Drosophila melanogaster: one gene and its partners. The protein of the gene in region 2 interacts with the protein of the main gene of each other region in a biochemical or structural test. Each region holds a gene or a part of one and is shown on either strand. Other genes may lie near its edges.

What was found.
Region 1: of the proteins of pll (region 2) and Cka, one has a biochemical effect on the other in vitro, tested with the Drosophila melanogaster proteins (one study listed by BioGRID).
Region 3: of the proteins of pll (region 2) and Tehao, one has a biochemical effect on the other in vitro, tested with the Drosophila melanogaster proteins (one study listed by BioGRID).

The regions. Positions count from the first base shown.
Region 1 is NT_033779.5:8,027,678-8,034,772, reverse strand, and holds the start of Cka (connector of kinase to AP-1), read right to left. Parts: upstream 4,053-7,095; 5' UTR 3,934-4,052; exon of another isoform or gene 3,198-3,933; intron 2,714-3,197; 5' UTR 2,516-2,713; coding exon 2,132-2,515; intron 1-2,131. Other genes in the region: baf (barrier to autointegration factor), read right to left, coding at 4,811-4,957, 5,040-5,165; CG7367 (uncharacterized protein), read left to right, coding at 6,394-6,535, 6,597-6,759, 6,834-7,095.
Region 2 is NT_033777.3:27,248,333-27,254,873, forward strand, and holds pll (pelle), read right to left. Parts: upstream 4,851-6,541; 5' UTR 4,626-4,850; coding exon 4,306-4,625; intron 4,248-4,305; coding exon 3,582-4,247; intron 3,519-3,581; coding exon 2,999-3,518; 3' UTR 2,799-2,998; downstream 1-2,798. Other genes in the region: TTLL6B (tubulin tyrosine ligase-like 6B), read right to left, coding at 36-146, 210-750, 812-1,446, 1,511-1,664, 1,722-2,018, 2,076-2,500; TfIIA-L (transcription factor IIA L), read left to right, coding at 5,270-5,293, 6,196-6,396. UniProt on the Drosophila melanogaster protein: Plays an essential role in the Tl receptor signaling pathway that establishes embryonic dorsoventral polarity; the signal directs import of dl into ventral and ventrolateral nuclei, thereby establishing dorsoventral polarity.
Region 3 is NT_033779.5:13,432,700-13,441,599, forward strand, and holds Tehao (tehao), read left to right. Parts: upstream 1-2,922; 5' UTR 2,923-3,049; coding exon 3,050-4,095; intron 4,096-5,195; exon of another isoform or gene 5,196-5,223; coding exon 5,224-6,565; 3' UTR 6,566-7,231; downstream 7,232-8,900.

The DNA of each region.
Region 1 (7,095 bases), on a different chromosome or scaffold from region 2:
AAGCGCAGAACCAGAACCAGCAACAATAACAATTTGCCCATGCTAATAGTAACGAAAAGGGCGGTAGGAGGAGGAGGAGGAGGAGGAGGAGGAGGAGGAGGAGGAGGAGGAGGAGGAGGAGGAGGAGGAGGAGGAGGAGGAGGAGGAGGAGGAGGAGTGAGTGGGGTACTCTTTGTGCTGTTGCTGTTAATGGAAACATGTTGTGCATTTAAATTATCGCCCAATGGCATTTCATTTGGCTCCTTAAGCTGGCTAATTAAAAGCAGCGCGCTAATATTCCGGATATTCGAAGGCAAAAGGGCCAGAAAGGTAACAAAACACACACGCCAACGCCTTATGGAGCTGCTACACAAATCGCTCCGCGACATGCAACTACTTTTTATTTTCATTCGCAATTAGAAATTACGAATTCCATGACAAATGCGCATTTGTAACTTAATGAGCCCGAGCGGAGAAGCTCCAAGATTTTTCGCTTTACAATTTTTGAAAAATGCTGGCTAACCAAAGGGGTTACGTGGCTGCTCTTGGAATTGTCCATTGCATAATGCTGTTGGGGAAGTGACCATATTGTACACAAGGACATATAAATAGAATTATTAATATGACAAGAGCGCCAGCGGCGTTTGGTTTCTCTAATCTGTAAATGCATTTGCAAACAAATGCTTTTGCAATGGCGAAATGATTGAAAATATATTAGCATTTGCCGCGTCATTCTTGCTTACAGTGCTTTCGAAGCACAAATAATCATTTCTCAAGAATTTGATAATAATTTAAAGGTAAATATGCCATTAAACATTAAAGAGTTATAAATGATAGTATAAGATGAACCTAAATGTTCGCTTTTTTGTTTTTGTTACCTCATATCTGATTGAAATTCAACATAGAAACGTAAATGTTCTTTAAATAAAGAGTTTCCGACCACAGTGCAAGTTAATTGCCTGACAAACGCGACAGTAGGAAAAGCCGACCGAGTAGGAAGTGGAAGTGGATGCATTCATGGGAAGACCGGCAAAACTGAGATTCGTTGCGACAAGGACGTTGCTGCATTCACAGCAGTCGGCACTGACACACAAAGAGATTTGCGATGTGCATATGGAAGTATATAAATAGATCCAGGCGGCCGGGCAGGGAACGGATGCTACGACTGCTGAAACAGAGCCATCTCGGATGGCGTCGCCTCTGCCTCTGCTGCCCACCCGAACCAGATTTATTTTGGCCAAAAACGCCAAACAAGGCGAACAGGTTCATAAATCGCGGCGACAAATTTGCGTTGTCAACTTGGTTCCTTTTTTTTTGTGGCCACTTTTCCACATTATGATGATGCAAAGCAGGGGAAGAGACGGATTTGAATGTCACGTTGCATTCAGAGCGTAACGGACTGTGCCTCGTTATCGATACCGCTCGTTATCTGGCCACTTGGCAGGTGAAAGCGATAGAGCGTGGGTCGACATTGACATTGACGATGGCCATGGAGGCGCAGGGTGGCGCAGGTTGGAGGTGGAGTAATCTCCTTCGAAATTACGATAATGTTATCCAACCCGCGGTTACACTCATTTTACATTTTTTGGGGGCTTTCAGGCTTTTTGGCCATTCGTCTGCGACAAACAGAGCATAAACACTCGATGACGGCAATTGCTCAACTCGATTCGCTTGCATGCGGACATGGCGGAGGCAAGGCGGTGTGGTGGCTCCTCCTGGCCGTTTTCCTTGCATGTTCATGCATTAGCGCCTCGGAAAATCATTGAAATGGAAAGTGAGCCACCGCTGTCGATAAGCAAGGACCTTTTAAGCACTCCCTGGGCCTTGCCAAATTGCCTTGCTTTTGGTTGCATAGTATTCTTTCTAGGACAAACAATTTGCAGTTTCATTGGTTCTTTTATACTAAGCACTATACTGTCACTATCTGCACAAAGTTCACGCTATAAAGTTTACTGTAGTCCGTGAGTCCAGTACCTACTTAATCAATAGTGAATAAAATAGTGGAGGATGAGAACTAAATCAATGTTCAAACTAATAATAAGGACATTGTTAAGATCTTAAGCTGATTTTCTGATTCACCTATCTCAAAGTACGAGATTAATCGAATATTAAAGAGGAGCTATTAGCAATTCAGTATTTAAGGATCACTCACCTGCAATTCGGCCCTGTCCACGTCCCACTGTGATCGCTCCAGCTCGAAGCGCGACCACTCGTGCTGGATGAAGTGCAAGATGCCCGGTATTGTGTATTGGGGCGTTGTGGCCTGCTGGTTATTTACACCGCCGCCCACCATCCCGTTTCCGCCGTCGTCGCCGCCAACGTTGCCCATTCCGCCCACATTGGCGTTCTGTCCACCAGCGTTGAGGCCGCTGATGCTCAGACCGCCGCTGCCGCCACCGCCCAGGCTGTTCGACAGGACACCGCCGATCGAGGAATTGGCACCGCCCACACCGCCGCCTACAAGGACGCCGGCTCCTGTTGCACCGCCAACCGGCTTGTTGTTTATGCCAGCGGTGGCTCCCGAATTGGTGCCCATTGGTTCACGTCGCTCTCAGTGGCTGTGCTGTGTGCCAGGTGTTTCCTTTGCCTGCTCCGGTGATCCTTGTGCCCGCTGATCCTGCTCTCCTGATCCTCTCCTGATTCGTTGCCAGCTGTCTGCCTTCAGGTGCCCAGTGCACGGTCCTTTGTTTGTCGCTCTCTCGGACTTGTTTGTTCACTGGTCCTACGCTATATCCTGTTTGGTGTTACGTTTTTTTTTTTTTGCGTTTTTAGGTTGGGAAAGAAAAGCAAAGTTCGGCACATGAAACAAATGAGGTCATTGAATTTTCCGAATAGAAGGGCGACGAGGGTAAAGGGGGGAGCAGTCGCAGGACACTCGCTGGCTGCCTCCCTCTCGTTCGCACTCTCTTTATGTACTACACTACGTTTTCTCGCACCGGAACCGCCCCCACATTCCCCGCTCTCTCACACGCTCACACTCTCTATCTCTCTCTCTTCCTCTTTACGGTACTCGCGATTCTCTCTTTTGCGTTCTAGTGTTGCCAACGGCTTACGGGAAAAGCGTAACTTATAGCACAAAAAGCCGTAAAACAGCTGATGTAACGCAAGAGTTAAAACGTTTATCAATTTAAGCGGTGGATCGGCTGGTAATCACGTCTTGGAAAGGCGATTATTGGTAGGAAAATTAAACTGACACACACACACACACGCACACTCACCCAGCTGCAGGGAAATTTGAATGGCACACACACATACAAACGCACGGCGGGGTTTTTGGTGGGGTTCTTGTTTCTCTTCGTTTTTTTGTGCTTCAATTCTTAAACTCTTCTAAGTGTCCAGCTGAATCTTGAACTGCGTCTTTGTTTTTCTTTGCTGCCTGGGCAGCCGATGCCAACGTACTCGAACCTTATTTAATAACTTTGGCTCGTTAACTTGACAATTTTGTTTACTATTTACAGCTTTTTCCAAGGAAACGTTGTTGCTACCTTTCACAGGGTTTACACTTTTGTGTGCGAAGAGCAAACGACTATTTGGAAGGGAGATGGAGAGAGCGCGAAGCGGGCAGTTGTATTAGTCCGTAATTTTGTGCATAATTGCACCCGCTTGCAATCACTAATTAATTAAGACGAACGCTGGGGCGATGCACACAAAAAGTCGATTTGATTCGGCCGCACATCAGAATGTTTGGCCTGTAACTCTGAAATAACACACAGAGTAGCAGTGACCGCACAGCCTTTTTCCCGCTCGCACTCGCGCACCTGCACCGTCCCGTCTGCCGTCGTGTATGGCCGTCTCGCTCTGCGAGTCTATATACAAAGAAAAACACACACACACTGGCACACTGGTGTTCGCATATGCCAAAGCCGAGTTAATTTCACTTTGTTTAATCTATCGTTTGGTGTTTTTGCATTTTTTAACCGCGCAAACGGTATTTGCGCGTTTTGCGCCTCTTACTTTGCGATTTATTGCACCGCTTGGCTGTGTTTTGCAATTTCTCTCTTAATTTTCATTGGTATTCACGCGTAATGTAATTCTTAGCAGCGTGACCGCGCCGATAACGATAAAAAATACCACGGGACCAAAAATAAATACCATATGATACCACTTCAGGGAAAAGAAATCCTATTTAATACCACTCACTTTAAAAATAAGTTTTTAAAAATATATATTTTTATTTAAAAAAAGTTGTATTTATAATCAAATACTCGGTACTAATTAATTACTCGAGGACAATTAATTTTGACAAAAGGGGTTTCATTATAAAATATATATTAACCGCTTACACATAATCCCCAAACAAAACAGCGATTGGGATTTAAAAGGTTCTAAGTCCATCATTATAAAAGATCATTTCCGAAAAACAAAAAGAAATAGATTTCAAAATTAGGCGACATCAGCCCGCTGATAAAGAAACATCAAAAAGACAGAGGCTTATTTCAGCGAGTCAGAGACTCCTACTCGCCAACAATCGAAAACATAGAGAAGATATAGTCGCCAACCGATCTGCCTTCTATAGTGTTGCTTATTGTTGTCCCCTAATCAAATTAATAAAAATCTGCATTAGGCTGCTTCGCCGGCCAGCAACAAATGTTTTACACCTACTGTACTTTTCGCAGAACAGAGATCCAAATGCAGGATCGTTTCCATGACTGTACATTTATTCGGATTAGACATTAAATTACACCCTACAGCTATACATACTAACAGTGAACACGGCAAATGCTTAGCTAGCATTGGGCCACTTTCGTTGACTGCGAATAAAAATGATTGGCCGATGCCTTTAGCAGATTCCTTTTGATCGAATTACTCGGATGGCTTGTGTGTCCACCTCTTACAAGAACTCCTCGCACCAATCGTTGAGACAGTTGTAGCAATCGGATGCCTGTTTGGAGCTGGCGTGGCACACCTCCTTCATCCAGTCCTTGAACAGCTCCTCGTCCTTTTTCAGCACCAGATACTGTCCCAAAACGGTGTAGGCCTAAAACGAATGGAAATGATCGTTAGCACTTGACTGGCATTGTTTATTTGCGCACATGGCGTCATCGTATTTACACACGCACCATATCGAATCCAGCGTCCTTCAAGCGTCCACCGAGGGTTTCCCCAATTCCGGCCAGTTCCGTCACCGACTTGTTGCCCATTGGCTCCGCAACGAAGTTCCTGTGTTTCTGCGATGTGCCCGACATGTTTGTAGTTTGCTTTGCTGCTGCACGTTGCGAAATTCCAATGCTTAGCTAGATTTCAATGGCAAAATATTCGCGGCGTTTCTGAAAATGACGCACAGCCAGTGTGGCAGCAAGTGATATTTTCGAAAATGCAACAACACATCTAGATATACTAAACAAAATTAGGCAATGTAATAGGCCACGTAATTCTGGCTTTACTCATTTGCGCACCCAACAATTAACAAAGTTTAATTATTCTTTTACATAGCATTGGCAAAAAATAGAGTTTTATAAGATGCACTCAAAAATGTTTCTTTGAAATTGCGGATTACATATTTTTGTAATCTACTTAATCTACTTAGGTCAAATGCCAGCAATATTTTACATGTAAGATGTATGCTTACATGGTTTGATGTATGGTATTTTACATGACCGTTTTAGATTTTGAATACTTAAAGTTTTCTATAAATTTGAAATTTGTTATAATGTTAGTGCATTAAAGTATTGCATTTGTGAAAAATTTACATAGCCATCGCTGAAAATCTAAATAATATTTAATCTATGTGTACATAAGATGTAGCATTTTTCATAAAAACACTTATAAAAATGTAATTGTTATTGTAACTTATTTAACTAAATTACCGAACATATTTTCAAATATTTATATTGTTCCACTTTTCAATACCGGGGCAACGCACCTTAGATTAGTATGCACCGATGAACTGGGCTTAACCCAATTTAACAGCGCCGCGCTTGGGACGCCCAACTGAGTTGGAATGATAACGCCGAGACCCTTCCGACCGAGGCTTCAACCTGGCCAGCAGTCCGTCCAAAACTCCAGTCTTGATTGACACCTGGCCCTCGTCTAGCTTATCGTACGCTATAAAATCCACACACCCGATTCCCGTGGCACAGTGACGTCGACTTTGGTACAGAGATGTTAGCGCTTTGCTGGCTTTGTGGCCTGGCCCTTAGTTGTTGGATGGGTGAGTTGGGAGTTACGGGGAAACGGATATACATATGTGGCTTTGTCTCACCTGACCGAGATTCGCGCGCACACTGATGCTGAGTAATTAAAACGCTCCAGGCCACAAATTAATTGCTGGGCTGGAACCGGTTTCGAGGATTACTAATGCGTCAGCCGCCTTAATGAGCTTGGATCTGGGAAGCTGGGAAACTGGGAGCTGGGAGCTCCGATCTTTGGAATCCGGCGTCCGATCAGTTCAAGATCGACGTTTAGCTGGTCAAGATGTCCTCGAATGCGCTGGCCTGCATCTGTAATGTGATCAATCCGTGTCGCAACGAGGTGTCCACCACATTTGTGGTGGTGCAGTGGCTCATCACCGGATTCGCTGCCCTCGCCCAAGTGGTGCGACCCGTGCTGCTGCTTTGTAAAATGTTTTCAATTCGATTTAGCCATCCTTCTAAGCATAAGTTTCTGCTCCATTTTAGTTGGCATTCGTGGTGAGGTGGCTCTAAATCAGGAGGATTACAACAAAACCTGGATCTACATGCCCAATGGACAGGGTAAGCCTGAGGTGGCCTATCTGGTGGAACCTCCGCCCGAAAACCGCATCAATCTGCCACAGCTCATCAAGTTCGAGCTGTACGGAAGGTGTGTGGTTTTTTTTTATTTGATTTGAAGAGTTATCTTTCGTAGTGGTCACAATTTGAATCCTTTTATTCCAGCGACTCCAGTTCCAGTGCTGATTTCTGGATAGATGAGAATAACTTTGAGTTTCCGCAGCGCCACAAGCGAGACACCTGGCAGGAGATGGCGGAGAAATTCAATCCGGAACTGGACACCAAGATACTCGTTCACGGCTGGAAGTCCAGCACCATGAGCAATTCGATTCAATCGATTCGTGGTGCCTATATCGAACGTGGCCAGGTGAACGTGTTCGCCATCAACTGGAAGGATCAGGCGGATAATATATACTATCTAACACCG
Region 2 (6,541 bases):
TAGTCTGTGTGGCTGGAGTTGGGCGAAATGACTGACTATGGAGTACGTTTGATGTCGTAGCCGTGCTGCAAGTTGTGATAGAGATGCGGATAGACGACCATGTCCGTGTTGGTCAGGAGTCCAGTTTCGTAGAGATTGCTGTAGATCTGTGGACGAATATCTCCTTTAAATATAAATGTATCTTTTTTTTTGGAAGTGAACCGACTTACATTCTCGGTGATCTTGAGCGTTCGTATCGCCTCCGCCCGCATGTGCAGCCAGGTGTGGCGCAGTCGCTCCTCCGCGTCCGATATGAAGCCCGGCGACCAGTTCTCCCTCAGCCGGAAGAAGTTAATACGGTTCTTCTCGCGCACAGCCCGCGGCAGCAATACGGTGTGTCGTTTCCTAGCATCCCGCTTGGCCTTCCCGTTCAGCATCTGCTGCTGCTTGGCCTTCTTCTCCTCGAGCTGGATGCGCATCTTGCGCGCGAGATCCTCTCGCTTTTTACTGGCCGCCGTCTCCGCAAAGATGGACACCTGGTGCGACTGGGCATAGAAGCGAGTGTAGTAGTCCAGCTTGCTCAAGTCTGGTGGCGGCATTATCTTCCTGAAATTGCCCAAATGACTCTCCTCCCAGGCGATTTGCTGGGCCAGTGGACCATGGTCCTCAGCTTCGGGTTCAACATCAACGGGTTGGGCATCCGGACTGCCCTTCTGGGCATCGATTTTGGGCTTGGAGGTGCCGCCACCAAGACGCGGACGTTGTACGGGTCTGGAAATATATATGTGGGTTACCAATGATGATGATGCTGACATGATGATGAGACACTTACGGGTCTCCCCTGATCTTGAGCAGCCGCTGCTTGACCCGCTTGCGATCCTCCTTGAGAATCTGCCTCTTGTCCGCCAGCACCGTGCTGACCAAGTTCAAGGTGTCCCGGATCAGCGGCCGCTTTACCTCCCTGTCCACCTGCTCGTTGGTATGGAAGCTGGGCGAGTGGTTCACCTCGAGGATGTACGGCTTTAGCTTCCAGTCCACCAGGATGTCGAAGCCGAGGATCTCGAAACAGGCCTGGATCTTGTCGTGACCCGGAAAGCAGGCATGGTAGTTGTGCTTCAACACTGGCCACGCACTCAGCACCGTCTTGATGATCACGTCGTCCACATTGCTCCAGAACTCCTCCACATCGTAGTTGTGTCGCCGCATCCAGTTGTTGATTGCGCTCAGCTTCCTCTTACTGCCGCAGTCATCGTTGTCGCAGAGTTCGTAGTGCGAGTTCCGCTTGTTCACCGAGTAGTTGGTCAGGTGCATGTACAGATCGTTGGCGTTTCCGGGCGTGGGCTCCACGTACTTGTTCGTAGCAAATCTGGCCAATCCCTCGTTGTACACGAAGATGCGCAGGGGATCCACGGAGGTAATCAAGGTGTACACACGCAGATCGAACTTGTACCCATCGATGAGCAGGGGCTGGAAAAGTGGATGCGATGGTTAGCCAGCGTATGGGATTCCGGATGAACAGCGGATACATTACCCTGTGTATGTACGTCTGGCAGATGAGGCGCTCATGTGGACCTATGGTCTTCAGGTCGTTTGTCAGCCAGATGCCACGACCCTGGGCACCAGAATCCGGTTTCAGGATGAACGTGCGTTTGTGGTTGAGCGCGTAGTTCATGGCATCTCCATAGCTGAAATCGTTGGTATCAATGATTAGCACTTTCAGTGTGAGGCTGGGGTTTACTTACTCCGCCGGCAGCATCCAGGTCTTGGGAAAGATCTTGTAGTCCTGTGGAAAGATCTTTAGCATTCGATTTAGATTCCGCGAGAGCAGATCCTTGCGACAGATCTCGATCATGCCCGGAAAGTGATTGATCTGCTGGAAGCGCTTCATGTTCTTGAACAGCTCTACGCCGGGAAACGAATCCGACCAGAGGATGTTCCACATCTTGGACTCCTTAACCAACTTGTAGCCCAGCGTCTTGGAGATCTTCCCAATCATGGCGTAGCGCGAGTTGGACACGCAGATGGTACTCTTGGTTTCGCTGGGGGATTATGTTAGATGCGTTATCCAATAAGGATCCAAAGCTAAGGAAGATCACCTGGCTGGCCGCTCCTCGTCGACGTTCATGGGAGGATTGAGCACCCGAGTGGGGCATTCCACTCGGTAGGTCTTGTTGTTCAGTTGAATGAATCCCTGCAGCTTGGCTTCCTCAGCAGGCATTGGGCTGTTTTCACCAGAAGATGGTCCGTAATATGGGGAGTTATCATCCACTTGCTTGTCGGCGGCTGTCCTCCTCTTGAGGCACCGGGTCTTCTTCATCCGGCGGCGTGGGGACATGGGCTGCAGTGGCGGTGATTGCTCCGGACTGAACCATTCCCGGTCCAAGCACGGCTGCTCATTAAGAGCCATGTCCAGGGCGCGAACAACGTGGGTCCTCTTTTCGCGATCCTTCCGTATTTTCTCCTTGGAGAAGTGGCGCAGCTCCTGAATCCTCTTGAAAAACTTGGAATTTTTTAAATTCATTGTCTCGTCCGCTGGTCGTCCTTGATTAAAAATTGAAAATTTTTCACGTGCTAAAAGCTATATCTATAAAATTGATTCGTGTCAATGGTTAGAGCCGGAATTCTGCGTCACGAATAAAAACAATATTATTTTGCGATGATTGTGTTGTGAAAATGAAAATAATTATAACCGAAATGACGCTAAAATCAAAACGTAGCTCCACTGGCCACGTCGCTTGAGTCGTTTGAGTTTTAAATCATCGATTTGGGGCATATCATAAATTTAGTTTCTCCGAACATCAAACATACCACTAACAACTAAGTGTACAAAAATATTTAATAAACAATAGGGTAAGCATTTACAATTTAAGCATAACAATAAGTCTTTAGGGAAATTTTCGTTGGAATGTTAAAGTTAAAAATATATATTGCGATTGATCACAAAATGTGGAAATGGTTTACAAATGGTCCTTCGAGCTTTTCAAGTTCGTCAATAAAATGGTAACATAATAAGGCCCATCTAGTCGGTAACAAACGGTTCGAAACGCTTGAGCACCGCGTTCATGGATGGGCGATCCTGCGGATCCAGGGCAGTACAGTGCAAGCCCGCCTCGATGGCGCACATGCACATGTCCAGCTCCTTGCCCATCGGTGCTGCTAAGTGCTTCTCTAGCAGCTCCATCCGGTTTTGCCGCCACTGCTGCTTAACGTAGTCCAGCAAATTCTTCTTCGTCTCGTTTTCCGGCACGCGATCCGTCACCTGACGACCCGTGAACACCTCCAACAGCACAATGCCGAAGCTGTAGACGTCCACGCCCGTGCTGAGTTGTCTGAAGTTGCGGAACTCCGGTGGCAGGTAGATCTTAGTGCCGAAAACTTTATTCACTTCCACCACAGCGTCCAAGGACTTGGGACCCTCGCGCACCAGACCGAAGTCTCCGATTTTTGGCTGCAGACATTGGTCCAGCAGGATGTTGGCCGGCTTAATATCTCCATGAATCAGCGGTGTGCCTCGCGCCGTGTGCAGAAAGTAGATGCCTCTTTTGGAAACGAAATGAAAAGTTAAAGAAGATTGATAGCACTAAAGAAACGATAAATCCCACCTAGCCGTGCCGAGGCTGATGCTAAACCGCTGCTGCCAGGTGAGTGCTGGTAGTGGGTTTTGTGCCTTATGCGCTCGTAAACGAGCCTCCAGGGAGCCGCCCTTCATCAGCTGGTAGACGAGGCACGGCTTACCACCTTTGATGCTGTATCCGTAGAGGGCCAGGATATTGTCGTGCCGGATGCTGTTTAAATACTTGAGTTCGTTGTAGCTCTGCTGCAGCTCCACCATTTTCTGGTCGATGTTGGGACTGCGGTAGTTCATCACCTTGATGGCCACGTCCAGTTGCTTCCATTTGCCGCGGTACACGTCTCCGAATCCGCCCTGTCCCAGTCGATTATCCGGACTCCAGCCGTCCGTGGCGTTTTCTAGCTCCGCATAATCGATCTCCAGCAAGGATTCGGCTGCCCGCTGTACGGTGCTAATGTGTATATTGCCCAGGGACTCCAGGCTGGGTATCTCCTCCGTTGCCGTTGTGCTGGTGCGATTGTTGTTTGAGTTGCTGACGCCCGAGGAGGAGGGAAACGGCGGGCCGTTGTTTACTTTGGCACTGGAATCGGGAGCAGCGCGCAGCTCGCTGATGGTGGGCACGCTCCTCGGTATGTACTTGTGCAGATCCTCGCTAACGTAATCTTTGATCAGACGCATGGCGTTATGAAGCTTCAATCTAAAGTAAGAGGAGTCATTTCTGGGATCTCGGCGGTTATTATCTCAAACTGACTCACTTTTTGAACAAAGCAAACAATGTTTGCACCGTGTGATTGTACTGACCGCCCCAAATGTTGAGGAACTCATTGGAGGCTGAGCGGCCACGCTGCTTCTGGCTGCTTATCTGCTCCACCTGGTCGGGATAGAGTTTTACGGCCGTGGCCAGCTGTTGCCATACGTCTAGGGCATCCAAGTGGGCACATAGCTGGGCTCGCACGGGCAACGGCAGCAGTCGGATGGCCATTGTGTTGTCCAAGTGGGAACGCGACCTGGTCCTGTTGCCATTCGCTTGGTTTTGGGCCTGCGCCTCGGCTTCGGCGGTCTGGACGCCACTCATCTTTCACTTATGGGCGGGCGGTTCAACCGGTTGCGACTGATTCATGCGGCTCCGGATGCAAGAGTGCCCGTTGGATGAGGGGTTGGCGGCGCTGGTAACCTGTTGCAGCGAAACGAAAATCGCTTTTGGGTAAATTCCCAACGCGATTCGATGAAAACCTGTGGATGACTTGTTAACAGCGGCGCAACAAGTGATAAAGCAGCTTAACAGAGCGAAGCAGTCTGGCAACGCTGCCAATGTCTAGCAAATAATACACTCGAAAAAGTGGTAGATGCTTAGGAGCCACTGTTTAAAATTCAGAAGTAAAAAGAAAGCAGAGTAATTATTAAAAAGGTATTTGCTGTATGAAAATATTAAATAGATTTTAAATAACCTCCACATATTTTATGTAATTTGCACAGTATTTTGTATACTAAAATATCTTAAAAAATACCAAAGGCAATTAGTGTATGACCAAATGAGCCTTGCAGTTTGGCGGACATGCGTCGTTTTCAAGTGCCCCGCAGGTGGCCACACTGCTGACACCGTCACGAACGCATCGCTATCGCTAATTCTTCGCTTCGCCCATTTATAATTCAGCAAATACGTCAATTAGCCCCACCAGCGAACGGAAAAGCCTCAAGCTGGCGGAGAAAAAGGTCCAAATGGCGCTATGCCAGACATCGGTGGTGAGTGTGCGGCTGGATCCCCGAGATCCGGTAATTGTGTCAGCGGCGGTGGCTCCATTGCATTCGACATATGGAAGGCATCCTACCAAGGAGTTTCTCCATTTCCTCCAGCTTCACCTCCTTCCGCCGCCCACGCGGGAAAGTGAAAGCTTTCCCAGTGGTCATGGTAGTTACTACAAAACGATAGTTACAACTGCTGAAATCCGAGATACCAAAACTGCAAACCTCTCGGGTGTGGATGTGTGTGCATGCGAGTGCGTGTCTGTCTGGATGTCGCTGTGTTAGTGCGTTCGTTGCCTTGCAGTTTTGTATGTTTCTTGCCCTCTGGATTTTCCGATTTTCGGCTTTTCCGCGTAGTACTTCAAACTCCCATGGGGGGTTATATTTAGCAGTAATACACGCTGCGTAGCTTGTGCTATTATCTACAAGTCGGGGCCTCCTTCCTTATCGTCCGCTGATAACGCAAAACAAACTATTAATAAAACAAGCAACTGGCATACCGGTGTATATATATGTACAATGTACATATATATATATACCAGCATATGCATGGTATCTATGTACATATGTGCACTGCGACATTCTTCGCAAACAAATAATTTACATACTTTATTTGCGTTTTGCATATTCACATTACAGCTGCGTCTGAATTTTAATGGGAGCTCAAAAAGGCTCACCACATACTGTGCGCCACATTTTCAACTTCTATAGCGTCTTGCCCTTTACTTGCTTCGTGGATTTTTTGCGCAATCCCTATTGTTTTACCCCCAACTGTTTAGGCCCTAATAGCGTGAAGTTGAGCCGCGATAATATAATGAGTGTTTAAGTCAACACAAGCCCAGATTTGTCGTGCATTTCAAATTTAATTATACACAATTAACCGCATCCCCTCTCGCCCGCAGCTGAAGGTGTACCATGCCGTGATCGAGGACGTCATCACAAATGTGCGGGACGCGTTCCTGGACGAGGGCGTCGACGAACAGGTGCTGCAGGAGATGAAGCAGGTCTGGCGCAACAAGTTGCTTGCTAGCAAGGCCGTCGAGCTGAGCCCGGACTCCGGCGATGGCTCCCATCCGCCACCCATCGTGGCCAACAATCCAAAGGTAAGCGAAACGGAGCCCTTGGGTGGATATTCTCATCGCGAATCCTTGTGTCTGTCTAACTTAACGTAGAAGTCCATACAAATTGTGATATCTTCATCCCAAAAAAAATTTCCAACTAAGATATCTTGCTTTATCTTTCTTATGC
Region 3 (8,900 bases), on a different chromosome or scaffold from region 2:
CTTAAGTGCATAGTGTGTTGTACTGTGCACTAAGTCCCTAGTAAGAAAACAAATTGTATTTTCCCAGTTGTTTGCAATCCCGCCCCCTTCGCACCCAAAAATGGCCCACATTGCGTATACGCAACGTTGCACATTTCGGTGAGGAGTCTAGACCGAATGCAAGGATGCCTTACAATCCGCTCGTACTGACAAGTAACAAAACTGTATTGATTTGTTGCTAATAGTTGATCCTGATTCCCATTCTTATTCTATTTCATTTATTCGATTTTTTTCTGCGGATGGGTTTTGATTTGATTTTCGAAGTACACACTGGCACAGAGCTACTGACACACAAAAGCCACTCATCTGCGGAATGGCAGAGGAAAATGTATTTGCGGTTGGCGAACTGCATGGGAAGCACAATTTTGGATGTTTATGCTGCTGCTGTTCGCTTATTTATCGAGAGAGCTTAGCTGTTGTCGGGGTTCTGTGTGCATTTTGATTTAATTTGGAATGCGCTACTCAAAATGCAGTTCCGTTTTGGCATGCAATTTGCCAAATGTCAAATAGGTTTGGGCCAATCTCAGCTGCATGGCTGCCAACACAATGGAAATGGCTGACATTTGACTGAGGATTTGGAATCCTGTTTCTGGCATCACCACCGACACACTATGCGTGTGTGTGGATATGACGTTAATTTGGTGTTGACTCTTAGAAAATGTGACCCTTTGAATCATGATTCAGTTCAACTCTGATTGATGTGACTTTTTAGCACGTCCCCTCATTACAAAACAAGGCAGTACAAGTCCTGCCTTTAGTTTTTGGGCCCCAAAAAGTCAAAAGTCAAGCGCCCTTTGTTTTCCACTGGCATTCACCAGCAGCCAGATTGCTCTTCCACCGAAGGCCAGATGGAAAGATGCACTTGGATAGATAACCCTCATAATCGGATAATTGGATTTTATTTGATCGCTTTGGGGTGAATAATGTTTCAGTTCATTTTTAGCTGAACAAATACATAATATCGGATTTAATGTTTTTAATTGGCTATTAATTACTATTTTGAAATGTGTTTATTTCCAATCATTAAAAATTAAAAATAATAATTTAATTAATATATGTGCATTTGTAAAAATTATATTTTAATTATTTTGCTGAAAGTACATATAGATTACGGTGCAAATAAAATGTTAAATATCCTATCCATCAAAATCGTTTTAGCATGTTTTCCACACCAACTAAAGTTAAACCAGTTAACTAAATGCAAAGTCACAGCCTCCGAAGAGCTAAAAGCCCAACATTTACAACAATTCGTTAGAGCACCTACTTCCATCATCACCAGCTCATAAAAACAGAATGTGCGTTAGCCTGTGTAGGTGCACCACTCTGCCTATGCGTTTTGCGGACCACAGTGCGTATGCGTAATACGAAGACGAGTGGCGTGGGAAGTCCTTTGCCATCGTTTGGCTGCCGCTTGTGTAATTGGGCGTGTAATTGTGTTTGCCTTTTCACATTTAGTCGGGCCCAAAAAAGGTCACTTTTGATGTGTGTCCTGTGGCGATGCTGCACTGCATGAGTTGAGCGGGCTCACCCAATTAAAATGTCGCTCAAAACTTTTGCCCCAATGTCCCTGGCGGGAGTGAAAAACTGTTAATTGAGTTTCTGTCCGCCAACGCGAAATGAATTATGAGCAACTTATAATGAAGACGGCTCAACTTGAGCGCAGCAACTTTTGGCAACTCGACAATGGGCCAAAGTCCATAATGACGGGCTGTCCTTGGCGCGTTCAAGGCCACATCCTTCGACGCAGCGATTTAAGTGATTGACTTGGCCCAGCACGGCCCTTATTTATTTTTGAGCGTCTGTCCCATTCTCCAGATGTCGAGGCTCGATAAGCTCCGGCGTGGCATGCCACACACCTGTCAGGATGTGTCCGGATATGTTCCATGCGTGACAGTTCAGGGCGCGGCTTAGGGCGAAATATTGGCTCCTCTCATCGAATATTCATGGCGAGCACCTTTTTTAATGGATGAAAAACAGTTTAATTCCCATGAGTTATTTATTTTCCTGTTAAATCCCCTCGACCAATATCCTGAATCAAGGATATTAACGGGTTACGAGTCTAAGAGTACACATTCCACTAACTGATTAGTGTGGGAAATAAAAAGTTAGAGAGCCCAAAATTATGCCACTAAGATTGAATACGGCCTGTGTGACTACCAAATTATTTTGTGTTCGCTGACTCACGACGGCTGTTTTCTGTGAACGTGCAAGCACTTGAAAGTTACCGCTCAAAGATGTCACTACGAAATACAAAAAATATATAAACACTTCTTATCGGCGTCTACGAAATGCAAAAACAAGGAACATGAGCGAGCCATTAACATTATGACATTTGGGCATAAATAAATTCCGCAAGATAGCCAAAAGTAGGGTATTAAAAACACGTTATCTTTAAATTTATGTGTCTTGGAAATTAAGATGAATGTCGAATTAGTTGTATTCAAATCATTCATTTGGTGCCAAATACCCCCGATTATAAGCAGACGGATAGTGATAGTAAGTAATTTTAAGGAAATTTACTGACATTTTGTTTGGTTATTTTTTAAACTAACTGAGTTCATGGCTGACAAATTGATAGAACAACGTATGGAAAACTACCTGCGTTCTTTGACCGAACCATATTACAATGGTCTTGAACTTTGCGACCCATCATTAAGATACCATCAAGGGTGAAAATGGTCGAGTGATTGCCTTCTGCCATCTCTATTTTGATGAAGGCGCCTCGCTTTTCGGCCATGTCAATGGGTCTCTCGACTGCGATAGGGGCCGTGATAAGAAAGCACAGATAAAAAAAATAAAAAATAGAAAACCGTCTGCAGACCAATTGGCTTGGCCTGATAAGCGAGTTGGCTGATTGGCAGGGACCCCAAACAGCTGTGATTTAGTCATAGCCGAACATTCGCCGTGTCCACATAACCACGTCGCAATTGCTGCTCGTCGCGGAAACCAGAAATTCAAATAATCATAAATATTAAATGCCAAGAAACGGCCAAGTGAAGTGAAGAGCGAAATGTTAACCTATTTGCCGGTAGTGTGGCTCTTTTTTGCCCTTCTGGTGCTTCGTTCTGCCACGGGACAGATCATACCACTGCCCACCTTTTGTTTGGGTCTTAGTCCGCAGTGCACTTGTGCCGCCGAGGGGAATGTGGTGCGTTTCCATTGTCCGGATGAGTACGCCATGCTGCTGGAGGTTTCCGAACCGGGCGCATCGTTGTACATGAGCTATTATGCCTCCACCGAATTGCAGTGGCTGCCGCGCTTCAATATCAGTTCGCTTGTGAAGATCGAGTTCGATGCGTACATCTTCTGGCCGGAGAAGTTCCTTAGCGACTTACTCAAGACCTTGGGTGTTCAGACTGTGAAGACGATTATTTTCCGTGATCGAACTTTGGAAACGGTAGTCACACGCGACGTTCTGAACTCGGGCAATGGATATATGGAAACTTCGCAGCCCGAAAACATTACCACCTGGCACTTTGGTTCAGTTCCGGGCCTGAAGAAGTTCAAGTTCTTCAGCCACGTGCCGGAGCTGCAGGAGTCCATATTCCACGGTTTCGACACCCTGAGGGATCTGCATCTCAGCGTGAACGTGACGACGTTGCCGGGAAATATGCTGTCCACGGTGAATGGAACTCTGAAAACGTTGACCATCGAGAGTCCGGGTATAGTGTCATTCGGGAATCCATTGCTCCGCGAACTGCAGCAACTGCGCAACTTGAGTCTCGCGCTCATACATCCGTTTCATGAGCGCGACAAGCAATTGCAACCGCACTTCTTCGGTTCCATGACTAATCTGGAGGAGGTGCGGCTGGCGTCCGCCACAAGTAGTGTGAATCGCTCGATGTTCAAGGGCACCAACAAGTTGCAGCTGATCAAGATGAATGGCAACGACGATCTCATGGAGCTTCCGGGTGAAATTTTCCTGGACCAGGTCAATCTAAAGACCCTGGATCTATCCTGCAATGCGATCGTCACTCTGCACGAGGATGTCTTCAAAGGCCTGGGGAATCTAACGCTGCTGGATCTATCCAAAAATAGACTGACTAACTTGTCGAGGTGGGTTGAAAGGGGGTTCTGTTTGTTGTTTTCGCCACCTGCTTGCTTGCGCTGATTAATAGATGGCCCACCTAGCGATAGGGTACGGACTGTAGAACTTGCTTCTAACCAAAGTAATTAATCGAAGGCACTCTTCTTCGCCTTATCGCTGTGGTTGCGGCTGCTGCTATTTCCCTTATCAATACCCGGGGCACGAGTAATGGCTCATCGAGAGTTCCATGTCTCCCCCTGACAGGCAAGTGGGGTTATCGGGTCCTATCGTTCAGATACTAATTGCAGTGTTATTATTGTACACAGATTGGCGCCAAAAAGTATGCCAAACATTATTAATTGATTGATCCTTATCTGGCTGTAGTAATTCGTGCTCAAATCAGACAAAATATTTCGTATTTGTTACGCCACAAGTACTACTATGTATATCTAAACAATTCATTATGAAAAGTCATATGAAACGTAAGACGTATTTTATTTTTTTTGTATAGTTCTTGTCTATGGCAATCTTATTGTCGTTTGATAAGATGTGGTCGAATAGAAATTAATTAGATATTTTTGTGGCTGATAGATTTTAATTATAGAAAAAAAGGTTAAGCTTTTTACCGATCTTAAAAAATGGCATTGAACAATGTTCTTAATACTATTGAGATTTACAATCAATCTGCGCGAAACAAAACTTTTTATACTGATTTTCTAGAAACCTAAGCATTATCATGTTGATTTGCAGAATTTATTTGTAGTCCCCATTTTGAATTAGCAATACCATAGAAGTTTTTTTTTATTAATTTAATAAAAGTAGCAAATTGGTTTTTAGATGTCGCAGACATAAGCATTATGCTTAACATAATGCCTACTAATCCCCTCATAAATGTTTTTAAAGGCTTCACCACTTATAAAATACTGTTTATAAATCATTTTTATATTGTTAAATAAATATGTAAGTAACATGTAAAAATTATAAATAAGCTAGTTAAAATAGCTTTACCATTTTCGATAGCTTATTTAAAAGAATCAATGTTATTGTATAGCATTAGGTCACTAGTTTTGGGATGTAGATAACGATAGCCCCACTTGGAACTCGGTACTTCCTGATTAATGTCAATCTAATCCCTCTGAGATCTCCTCCTCCTGCAGCACAATTTTCGCACCATTGACTTCGCTGAACGTTTTGCGTCTGAACAAGAACTCGCTGACCGCGATGTCGCCGAGTGTGTTCCAAGATGTGGTCAGTCTGAACTACATCGAGATGGTGAACACCCAGTTCTATGGGGCCACGCTCCTGATGAACTACGAGGCTGTGGTGTGCACCAATGACGAGGCGTGCCAGTACAAGTCGGCGGAGTGGCAGTGCGATCCCCGATGCATCTGCTGGGTGCAGCGGAGTGTAGGTAGTCTGATCGTGGATTGCCGCGGAACGAGTCTCGAGGAACTTCCGGATTTGCCCCGCACCACGTTACTGAGCACGGTGCTCAAGGTGGGCAACAATAGCCTCACCAGTCTACCCACTGTGAGCGAACACAGTGGTTATGCCAATGTGAGTGGACTCTTTCTGTCGGACAATAACCTGACCAGCCTTGGAAGCGGTGACCAGCTGCCCGATAATCTCACCCACCTGGATGTGCGAGGCAATCAGATTCAGTCACTCAGCGATGAGTTCCTATTGTTTCTTCAGGAGCCGAACAACACTATGACGCTATCGTTGTCGGGAAACCCCATCACCTGTGGCTGCGAATCCTTGTCGCTTCTCTTCTTTGTGCGGACCAATCCGCAGCGGGTACGGGACATCGCCGATATTGTGTGCACCAAGCAGAAAAAGTCCTTCCAGCAGATGGAGGCCTTTGAGCTGTGTCCATCGTATGTCCTACTCATCAGCTGTGTGGTCGGTGGCCTGGTGATCGTCATCTGTCTGCTCACCGTGTTCTACCTAATGTTCCAGCAGGAGCTGAAGATTTGGCTGTACAACAACAATCTTTGCCTGTGGTGGGTCTCCGAGGAGGAACTGGACAAGGACAAGACCTACGATGCCTTCATCTCGTACTCGCACAAAGATGAGGAGCTGATCAGCAAGCTCTTGCCCAAACTAGAGAGTGGTCCGCATCCCTTCCGGCTGTGTCTGCACGATCGGGACTGGCTGGTGGGCGACTGTATTCCGGAGCAAATCGTTCGCACCGTAGACGACTCGAAGCGGGTGATTATTGTACTGTCGCAGCACTTCATCGATTCGGTGTGGGCCCGCATGGAGTTCCGGATCGCCTATCAGGCCACATTGCAGGACAAACGGAAGCGAATCATCATAATCCTCTACCGGGAACTGGAGCACATGAACGGCATCGATAGCGAACTGCGAGCCTATCTCAAGCTGAACACCTACCTCAAGTGGGGTGATCCGCTCTTCTGGAGCAAGTTGTACTACGCGATGCCGCATAATCGCAGGGTTCTGAAGGGCCAAAAGAAGCATGCGGGGCCGCTAATCTGAGGCTTGAATAAAATGTAAGATATTTTAGATGAATATACTCACTCGCTTTCAGTTGAGATTCTCGTAGAGATCCCCCTTGGCGAGGCAAACTTGGGCCTTAAAAGCTAATTTGCATGCCTTGCTTAAAGTTCTAAAGTTATTATGACTATTTAAAAAGTATTGATACATACATCATAAGTAATTTAATTTATTTTTAAGCAAACTAATGACCTTACGATTTTGTTTCCAATTTTCCGGAAATTATATATTTACAACGTAATTTTACAAGTAATATTTACAAATTAATAATAATGTCAATAAAATAAAAAAATATATAAAAACATATCAGCATATAGCTTCTATGACTGTTTAACCTAATTAATGCATACAAACGGGCAGTTATTCTTTCGACAAATTTGTTAATTAAATTCATCTTCATATTCAAAATTTAATAGCTTTAATTTGAATAACTAATAAATTGTCACAATAATTAACTTAGTCGTTAGCATCAACATTTGCAACATTTCATGGAACACACAAACGCTCGATTGCCATTAATCAATTAGCTCAATTAAAATGATGATTATGTGTTAATTACAGCTTCGGATGAATTTATGACACTCATTATACGAATTATTTTCCGCTAAATCTATGATAAGAAAGAATAGAAATGTGTATACAAGTTAGAAACTGCAAGATACTGAAAATAATATTATTTCCACGCCCCTCAGCTGCTTCTTAAAACAAGTAAGAATGTAAAGAATATCAAATTAATCACGTTTAAAAAGCTTTTCATTGGTGTAAATTTTTAATTCACCGAGGGACCCACAAAGTGGACAGTTTTTGAGCCCTCGTCCAAATATCCCAGCTGGCTTAGGCCTTTGGATGAGCTGGTCCTTGTTGGTGGTCCTTCCCTTTGTTTCCAACAATGTATTCGGCCTGGATTGTGTCATTTTTCGCATGAGATTTTAATTAAATTTTAAATTCCAAAACATTGGGGTGCTTTGTGTGTGCGCAGATAAAATGCCATTTGGCCTTAAATGAATTTTAACAGCTGATGTGTGCATAAATAAACATGAACTGCTGCTCTTCTGCATGACTAAAAATTAATTTTTCCAAAGCTGCACGCTTTTATTCCACATTATTATTTGCCAAAGTCACCACATCATAACCATGGGCATTCGTGGGCAATAATATTTGCAATTTATACGGGCTTAAATATTTATTCAGTCACATGCTTTAAGCAGCCCTCATAGCCTCATCTTCAAACTCTAATTATCCACTTCGGTAATTGCGCTGGCCTTCATTGCTCAGTTGAGTCGAGCACTGGAGCCCTTTCCCCAAATAGGCCGATTCAGGCCCAAAGTGGCGAGCCAAGCCAATTCCCAGCCAGATATAAGTGAAAATATATGTAATAACCAAGAGGGCAGAGAAAAACATTTGGCCAACTTGCGCTCCCTACACTGTCAGCCCTTTTTTTTTTTTGCCGCACGATTGCGTGACCTTTTGTCCACCCACCACCCACAAGCCACCATCAAAGTGGGTGGTTTGGTTGGTTCTGCAGAGCGTCTTTGAAGATTCATTGCCTGCCCGCTGGCCAACACTTTGTGGGCGAGTCGAACAAAAGAGTGAGGGTCATGGGGCAAGGGACAAAGCTAGAACACTTATTTATAACGCTTGGTCTTTAAACTTAAAAACTGAAATATTTCCACTAACCTTTTATATACAAAAGTTAAGTTTAATTATTTCTACAGTCGATAGAACTTGTATTCCCCAAATTAACATTTCAACATCAACGGCATTTTTTAAAACTCATTATTATTTAACAACTGCTCGCTGTGATAAATTACTTTTCTACAGCCAACTGAATGGCGGAAATTCAATCTTTTTGCAATTCAACATTGTGATTCGCTTTGAGCGCGGCATCCAATTCAATTTTGATTGTAAAAATGCTCAGTTGAATTATATTTCGCTTTGCCTTTGTGACCCTCCAAAAGTTTGTAAGTGATGACATTTGATTGCTGCCCCAACACATTGCAGCTGCCATTGTATAATCATCTGGGCTCATTTTTCATAAACTTACACTCGAAGTCGAAGTCCGAGTCCTGGAATCTGGGTGTGAGTAGTTATCACAAACATCTGTTTGCCACTGCCTTTCATTTATCACGAGTTTTGCGAAGAAAACTATAATAAAAGCGATGCTGCCCATTGCCAGGGCTTTTGGCTACGTGATTCAAAGGCCAAACCGCTTGCCACTTTCTTTTCGCAGTGGCTGAAATTCAAGCTGGGATTCCCTGGCGTTGAACTACTTAGAAGCCATAAAGTAAGGATGTGTGGCTCACAAGGGGCTAGAATG